2 linked regions of the Mus musculus genome follow. The protein of the gene in region 1 purifies or fractionates together with the protein of each later gene. This does not show direct contact. Links are inferred from orthologs where the notes say so. Each region holds a gene or a part of one and is shown on either strand. Other genes may lie near its edges.

The links.
Region 2: the proteins of Dcaf11 (region 1) and Cops5 purify together in Homo sapiens (affinity purification with mass spectrometry; 6 studies listed by BioGRID and IntAct, with this or other methods). This does not show direct contact. The link is inferred for Mus musculus from reciprocal best matches to the Homo sapiens genes DCAF11 and COPS5.

The regions. Positions count from the first base shown.
Region 1 is NC_000080.6:55,558,796-55,563,075, reverse strand, and holds the start of Dcaf11 (DDB1- and CUL4-associated factor 11), read right to left. Parts: upstream 3,048-4,280; 5' UTR 2,955-3,047; intron 2,636-2,954; exon of another isoform or gene 1,867-2,635; 5' UTR 1,789-1,866; coding exon 1,634-1,788; intron 185-1,633; coding exon 57-184; intron 1-56. UniProt on the Homo sapiens protein: May function as a substrate receptor for CUL4-DDB1 E3 ubiquitin-protein ligase complex.
Region 2 is NC_000067.6:10,027,891-10,031,706, forward strand, and holds part of Cops5 (COP9 signalosome complex subunit 5), read right to left. Parts: intron 2,821-3,816; coding exon 2,709-2,820; intron 1-2,708. UniProt on the Homo sapiens protein: Probable protease subunit of the COP9 signalosome complex (CSN), a complex involved in various cellular and developmental processes.

The sequences.
Region 1 (4,280 bases):
CCCTGTCTTAGAAACAAAACATAAAGCCAAAAACCTTAGATGGCCTCTCCTCTTACCGGGTGGGTTATATCGATCTCCAAGGCGACCATCCCAGGCACTGTCATGCTCTTCCTCTGAGTCCGAGAGGGCCTGGATGAGCTGTAAATTTGCTGCACCTCTTCCTTGCACCAGTCTCACTTGGCCTCTGCGGAGAGATCCCCATTATAAAGGAGGGATTCCTTCTCCCATCTAACCAATGGCTATCTGGCTCTTAGTCAGTTGGTTCTCCTTTTGAAATTGGATTTTAAGTCTCCTACAAGTCATAGTAGGGCCAGGCAGTGGTGGCGCATGCCTTTAATCCCAGCGCTTGGGAGGCAGGGGCAGGTGGATCTCTGTGAGTTCAAGGCCAGCCAGGTCTACAGAGTGAGTTCCAGAGCAGCCAGGGCTACACAGAGAAACTCTGACTCAAAAATAAAATAAACAAACCAACCAACCCCAAACACACAAAAAAGACACAGCAGGAAACCAGCTTTAACTCTTAAGAGTAAGAACACAGAGTTCTAACAGGTTATGAAGACTGACCTACTAAATTGATTTCTCTCAGGGCTAAATATAATTTTCCCCCAGGGCTAAGGACTGAACCCAGGGGCTCAGTGCATGCTGGGTAAGCTTCTACCACAAAGCTATATCCTGAATTCAAGAGCTAAGAATTAGGAGAGCACTTCCACTTTTCCTTCTATACCCCAACAAAGGCACCTTAAGTGAGAGAAGGTATATTCTGGTTCATGGCTCAAGGGCAGAGTCTGTCATAGCGGGGCCATCAAAGTAGCAGGGCCAGGAACAGCTGGTAACACAGCACTCATAGTCAGGAAGAAGGCGGGATGAATGGTTGGGTTTAGCTAGCTTTCTCCTTTTTATACAGTCTAGGACCCACATGGGAATGGCACCACCCACGCTCAGAGTGGGTCTTCCTGCTCCAATGAACCCAATCGCCATAATCCCTTCCAGGCCTGCCCAGAGAGGCTAAATAATCCATCCCGCCCAGGTGTGCCGTGTCCCCCAGGTGATTTCAGACTCTGTCCAGCTGACAACAACAACAACCCTCACAGCCGTCGGTGTAGGAACGCAACACAGAACACAGGGTCTGCAGGGATACTAGGTTCATCTTTTCCCAAGGAACCGTAGGCAAGCAAACAAAACGTTCTTAGTTCCTGGTGGTCACCCCCTTGAGGGCATTCTTTTCTTAAGAGCAGGGCTAGTAAGGCCGATGTAAACTTGTTTTTCAAGTAAATCCACATGGCTTCATCTCACATGGCAAGTGACTTAGCACCCCCTTCCCAACTCTTTTCACATCTCTCCTTTCCTCCATAATCCCTCTCCCTTCTCTCGTTTTATTTTCTTGGAAAACTGATGACATTTGTGTTGTCACAGCTGAAAAGGCTTCCCTTAGGAGCTCCTCAACTATGAGAGTTGTAAGAACCATTTTGGGTAGGGAGCCACGCAGAGTGTATGGACATCCAGCAGGGAAAGGTCGTTCTGTTCAAACACAACCATTGTCCTGGGACAATGCCATTCCCTATCCTCTGCACTTTTCCTGCCTGAAGTTGAGGTCAAGACATTGTGACACTTAGTGTCACAGCAGAGGGTAAGTTACCTGCGGAGGAGATAGGCCAGTACCTGGGCCAGATCCACATCTTCATCCTCTTCTTCCTCTTCCTCACTACGACGCAGGCCAGTCCCTCTTCGGGACAAGCCCTCAGAGGGTTCTAAGGACCCGGATCCGGCGCTGCTGCTGTTCCGTGATCCCATCTTCTGGTTACAGCATCCTTATGTCTTGCGCAGGGGCTGCTCCTGTCTCCAACTTGGGTTTGGTGAAAGCAAAGCCTGCTGTAGAAATACCAGGGTTTCCAGAAACGGGGCAGAAGCTATCTTTAGAGGGGTGACCCCTCCAGGAGACTGAGATTTCCTTCTCTTTAGCTATGACAGCTCCCAGGGTATCGGGAACATAAACCTTTCTCAATCCTGTGAAGCAAAGAAAGCCATATGAAACCTAGGGTGCAACCCTACCGTACTAATCAGAGTCCACGAAGAGGAATTTCCCATTTTCCTAACCAAACTCACCTATCAAAGTCCCCGGCCCGGGATGGCTGAATCCCAGATAACCTCTCCGACTGACCAATCAAAACCCCTTGCGGAAGAACGCATTTCACTAGCTTATCTCACACAACCAACCAGAGGCGTTAGAACTCAGACCCCCCCCACGCCTCCCTCTACTGACCAATCAGAGCAATTTCTTGCACGGGCCGGCAGCATCAACAGCCAATGAGGTTAGAAGTCAGCCTAACACCCCCTCCAGTTTAGCTTCACGCCCACGTGGTGCGCCGGGGGTGTGTACAACAGGGGGAGGGAAAATGGAGAAGCACCTCCCCCCGGCGTCTGGCGGTTACCGCCCCACGCGAGACCACCCACCAGCCAGGAGCTGTCGCAGGACCCGCAGGGGCGAGGCCCTGTTTACAGCGACTATCGCTGCGGCGCCGGCTAACAGCTCCTCAGTCGCGAGCCTCGTCCGTCACGCTTCTGGCGGCCAGGCCTGCTGACGTCACTCGACGCTCCAAGCAGTCCCTCCCCCTCGGCCCTCTGATTGGATAGCTGAGACCTGTGATTGATAGGTGGGCTGGGGAACTTGCTCAACCCAAGAGGGGCGTTTAGTCGTAGCGGACTGGAATTGGCTGCGACCTGCATTAGACGTAGCGGAACTAGACATCAAGTCTGCGAGGTGGTCCCTTAAGGTCGCTTGGCCTCGAGTGGTTTGTTTGTTTGTTTGTTTTTTACTGCGTGCCCAATCGCTCCTATTCCCTCAGCTCCCAGCAACCCCAGTTCAACCGTTTTCCCCTGGCTGTAGCGCTAGCGGCCTGTCGAAAGCAGTCCTCACTGGTGGGACCTGGGCCTCTCCACCCTGCTGTGTACACGCTTACCAGCGGGGGTCTTGTCTGACGACCCCTGGCTTCCTTTCTTGGTCTTTGCATACGCTCCCTAAGTGCCGCGGCCGTCCCCGGAGCCTTTCCGGTTGCCTTAGTGCGCACGCGCCCCTTGGGTCTGGGCTTTGCCGACCGTCCCTAGGCTTCTGTCGCTCGCCACCTCCCGTTGGTTTATGAGTAACTAGGGTGAGTCCAAGGCCAACCCTACCTTGTCTGGGATGGTTTCCTAGGCCAGAGAGGCGGGCGATGTCGGCCTTGGCCCAGAGGTGGGCCATCGCGAGGACACCTCAGCTCCCGGGGCGAGCATGTGACAGGTTCTGTGTCAGGTTTCCTGGTCTCTAGGCCGGAGACCCCAACATTTTCTCCCGATCCACGCAGGTTGTCACTGCCTTAAAATTCTTAACTGTAAACAAGCGCCCAGCATTTTGTTCTTTGGCTGGTCTCCATTAATTATGTGGACAGGTATTTCAAACATACACGGAACTTTCAGGATTCCTAGGTATTTGGGTTATTTGGCCTGGAAAGTCTGTAATAATTTTAGTATTTTTCCTTCCTTATTACTCTTCTAGTTCTTACAAGTTCTGTAGATATTTTTTAACTGATTACTTGAGGTTATTTTCACAGTGGCTGTTTTTCCACATTTCAGACTTCTTCCACTCCTTGATCTGCTCAAGTCTACTCTTAAAAGTATTTCGTTCTTAAGAGCTGACTGTTTTTTCGTTTTTTTATTACTTCAAATACAGACTTCCCAACCTGATTGTCTTTTTACTTCATTCGAAAATTTTGTCTGCCAATCAAATGTGCCTAGAAGTGCCTTATTTCTACTGGTACACCCTTTCAGAATGTCTAATCTGAGAGATGCTTTATCTTTTTAACCAGTCCTAGCCAGCCCTCATAGCCCTAAACTGTGACCTAGTGATACTGCTATCTGTAATCAAACTTGGACCTACATAAAAATGTATGTTCTGCTTAACAATCACTGATAATAGTGGGATACTGGAAATAAAAGAAATCCAAATATACAATAAGAGGTTGGTTAAATAAATTATGGTCAGTTTTGTACAGTTATAAAAATACCTGGTAGCCACTGAAATGAATTTTTTAGTGGGTTAGGAATATGTCTCTATGGGAGAGTGCTTGCTTGGCATTCTGTATATACTGGGTTCAGTGTATACATTGAACACACACACACACACACACATACACACCAAACAACAACAAAAACCCAATGTTGCTGCAGTTCTTCATAAAATAAAAATAACCGAGGGCTGGAGAGATGGCTCAGTGGTTAAGAGCACCGACTGCTCTGCTGAAGGTCCTGAG
Region 2 (3,816 bases), on another chromosome or scaffold:
AGCTGGGAACCCTGAACCATGCCTCCTGCCCTCTTCTGAAAACAGAAGAGGGCAGCAGTCATTCCCACCTCAGAGCTAGTCTGAAAATGAAATAATACGCCAAAAGCTCTTAGGACTGTCCAGGACACCTTATAAAGGCTTAATAATTATCTAGCTTTGTGACTGTACTTATTAAAGTACTACTTTATGCCCTTGTCTACACCTATATTTGAGAAATCTATTATGAACACACTTTTCTTTAATATCACATATATTAGATATTTTACAAATTGAAAAATATTAAAGGTTTGATCCATACATTTAACAGCCTATCGCCCTACATGTGTCAAGTGTGGGTGTGCTGCGGTTTGCATCTACAGTCTGTACAAGCACATTCTACTACCAAATTGAATCCCCAGGTGTCATTTATTCTTATTTGTTTTGAGACAAAGTATTAAATAGCTGAGGCTCTAACTCACTAAGTAGCTATAATAGATTACGAGTGTATACCCCTATGCCTTGCTAATTGTAATATTTTAATAAGGTTTTGTATTATTATTTTTTTTTAGTCTAAAAAACCCCAACTATGTGCGGGTGGTACATGCCTATAATCTTTGAAATGCAGGCACAGGAAGACAAGTTGTTATCTTAAACATTTCTTTTGGCTTTTTTGACACAGGGTTTTTCTGTGTAGCCTTGGATGTCTGGGAACTTGATCTATAGACTAGGCTGGCCGAGAATTCAGAGATCAGCCTGCCTCTTTCTCTCCAATGCTGGGATTAAAGGCCTGTGCTGCTACTACCACCCCTAAAATTTTTTTCCTTAAACATTTTTTTAAATTGCATTTATTTATCCTCTCTTTGTGTTTGTGTGTATGCATGTGCCACAGCATACATGTAGTCAGAGGAAAATCTGCAGGAGTCGATTCACCGAACTCTGTGGTGAGTGCCTTACCTCACTAAGCCATCTGTCTGTCTGTAGATTTAAAGCTCTAGCAGCTGTAAGTGTAATCAAGGCAGTCTCAGCTATAGTGTGACTTCTGGGCCAGTCACGGCTATACATGAGGCAAGGCCTTGTCTCAGGCTGGTGACGGAGCTCAGGCCTTGAAGGCACTTGAGACTTGCCCCACCAACTAACCGTCCTCATATTACAATGCTGGAACAGGACAGTCACAGGACAAAGTAGGTCCTCTGCCTGCCTCTCTCCTGCTGTTGTCCTAGCGTCCCCTTTTCTTGCCACCAGGTATCACTTCTGACTGCAAATATACTTGTCTCTAAGGCAACATACACTTCGCAGTGCTTGGCACACAGGATACATAATATTTGTTATTATGATTGCTCTCCTCCTTTATTTTTGTTTAAAACAAGAAGGTCCCATGTGGCTCAGGCTGGCCTCAAGCTTATTGTGTGCTAAGGAAGACCTGGAACTACCTTGACAAAACCTTCCAAGTCCCAAAGACTAGCATTACAGACACGTGCTCAACTTGCTCTTTTTAATGCTGCTACTTCTACTAAGTAGAACACAAACCATGTCAAAGTTATGTTTAAGACATTAATAAAAATACTCAAGGGAGTCTTTCTAAGAATATAATGCCCCAAACAAAACACTAGCAATCATCAAGGCAGGTGTTTTCTCAGTTGCAGTGTACGTAGTGATACACCGAGTGCCACTGCCACCATTTTACACCACAGAAAGGCCCAGCCACTACAGCTGGATGTGATGGCACATGCGGACAATCCTAGCACTCAGAGGGTAGAGACAAAATTTCAGGGTCATCCCTGGCTGTGTAACAAACTATTCTGGAGCAGAGGTGACAAACTATGCTCTGAAGGTCACCAAGGACTAGTAGTAGTCTCAGATTTGTTTTCAAACCCCGTTTCTTTTGAATTATACTGTGTTACATGAAGTAGACTTTTTTTTTTATCAGAAAGTAAAAACAATAAAACTGCTAAGTTCTAAATGTATAACTATTAAATATATATCCATTAATAATAGGAAGAATCACAATATTAGATTTTAATGATGTATTGGGAGCTATTGAGTTAATGTTTTTCTTTGTCTGGGATTTGTAATGATCTTCAGATTTCTTTCAGGACCTCTTTCTACTGATACTGTGAGCCTTTAATACAGGTCTTCATGTTGGGGTAACTTCCACTCATGAATTACATAGCTGCTAATTCATAACTGTAATTTTGCTATTGTTATGAATTGTAATGTAAATATCTGAAATGTGATTCCTGTGAGGGTCGCATATTATGTGTCAGAGACCTACCTGTTACCTGAGGCAACAAAAACAGTATTTTTGTTTCTTCCTCTATGAACCTCTTTAAGGCACAAGCATATCTTCCCCCATTTGGATTGCCTAGCATCCTCATCTAGTTTGGGACAGAACCCTGCTCCAGCCTTGAGATTATGCCATTCTGTGAAATGAAGTTTCAAATAACAAACAGTTTTTGTAGCTTGGCTACAAGTGAAATTAATCAGGTATAATAGCACTTGCCTGTGATCCCAACACTCAAGGCCCTGAAGTCATGGGCCAGTAAGATGGCTCAGTGTGTGAAGGAGCTTGCTGCGAAGCCTGACAACCTGAGTTTGATCACGGGCCTACATACAAGAAGAGAACTGACACTTCTGGGTTGGCCTTTGGCCTTCATATGTTTGAGTTAACCATGTGTCAACTTGGGCTTCAGAGTAAAACAAAATTCAAATGAAACAAGTCCAGTACTTACAGTAAGCAAGCTAGAGGAACTCAGGGTATTCACCCAGTATTTATTCCACAAAAGCTCAAGTAGTTTACGATCCAAAGATGATTTGAAATATGAGACTTCTAAGGCATAATATCTATAAAACAAGAGCACACATTTGGCAGGTGAAAAAAAATGCAGTTATATTGGATAGAAGTTTTCTCTACACCAAAGCAAAATTATATTTTATAGTCATATAGTTGAACAATAGCTAAATATAATTTTTCTTTTTTCTTCAAGTGGTATGGCTCTAAATCTGTCTACTAGCCTTTCTTGTTTTATATACTTTTTTTTTTTTTTTTTTTTGAGACAGGGTTTCTCTGTGTAGTCCTGGCTGTCCTGAAAGTCACTTTGTAGACCAGGCTGGCCTCGAACTCAGAAATCGGCCTGCCTCCGCCTCCTAAGTGCTGGGATTAAAGACGTGTGTCACCACTGCCCAGCGAAAGAAAGGAACTGACTCCTGCTTATTTTCTTCTGACCATGGTAAATGAGCCCACATACATACAGATAAAGATAAAAAAAAAGCTTTTAAAAAATGCTATAGTTATTACACAAACCTCACTATTTATTATCATACACAAAACAGACATTCAAGAAGGAATGCATGAGGTGGAGGTCAGCTTTAGCAGTGAAGGGTTAATGCAGCGCGAGGCTTTACAACTCTGACACTGAAGAAATCATGCTTCTACTTTGTTAGTGATTTTGTTCATACAGAATTCTGTTGGAACACATCGTTATTATGCATGAAGGCCTGACTGTGCTACAAGTTCATTCCATGTAACCCGAGTATTAATAAAGCTACGACCATAAATAAGGAGCTTCACCAGGCAGCACTCAGGAGGTAGAAAAATCAGTTCAAGAGCAGCCTTGCTATATGAAAACCTGTCTAAGACAACAATAGGTAGGATGTGGGTGTGGTGACGCCCCTTTAACTCTAGAGCTCAGGAGGCAAAGGCAGACAGATCTCTGGGAGTTATAGGCCAGTATGGTCTCCAGAGTGAACTCCAGGGCTAGAGAGACCCTGTCTCAAAAAACTAAAACCAAACCTCAGAAGGTGGGGGGATGTAGATTAGCAATGGGGTGCTACAGCACA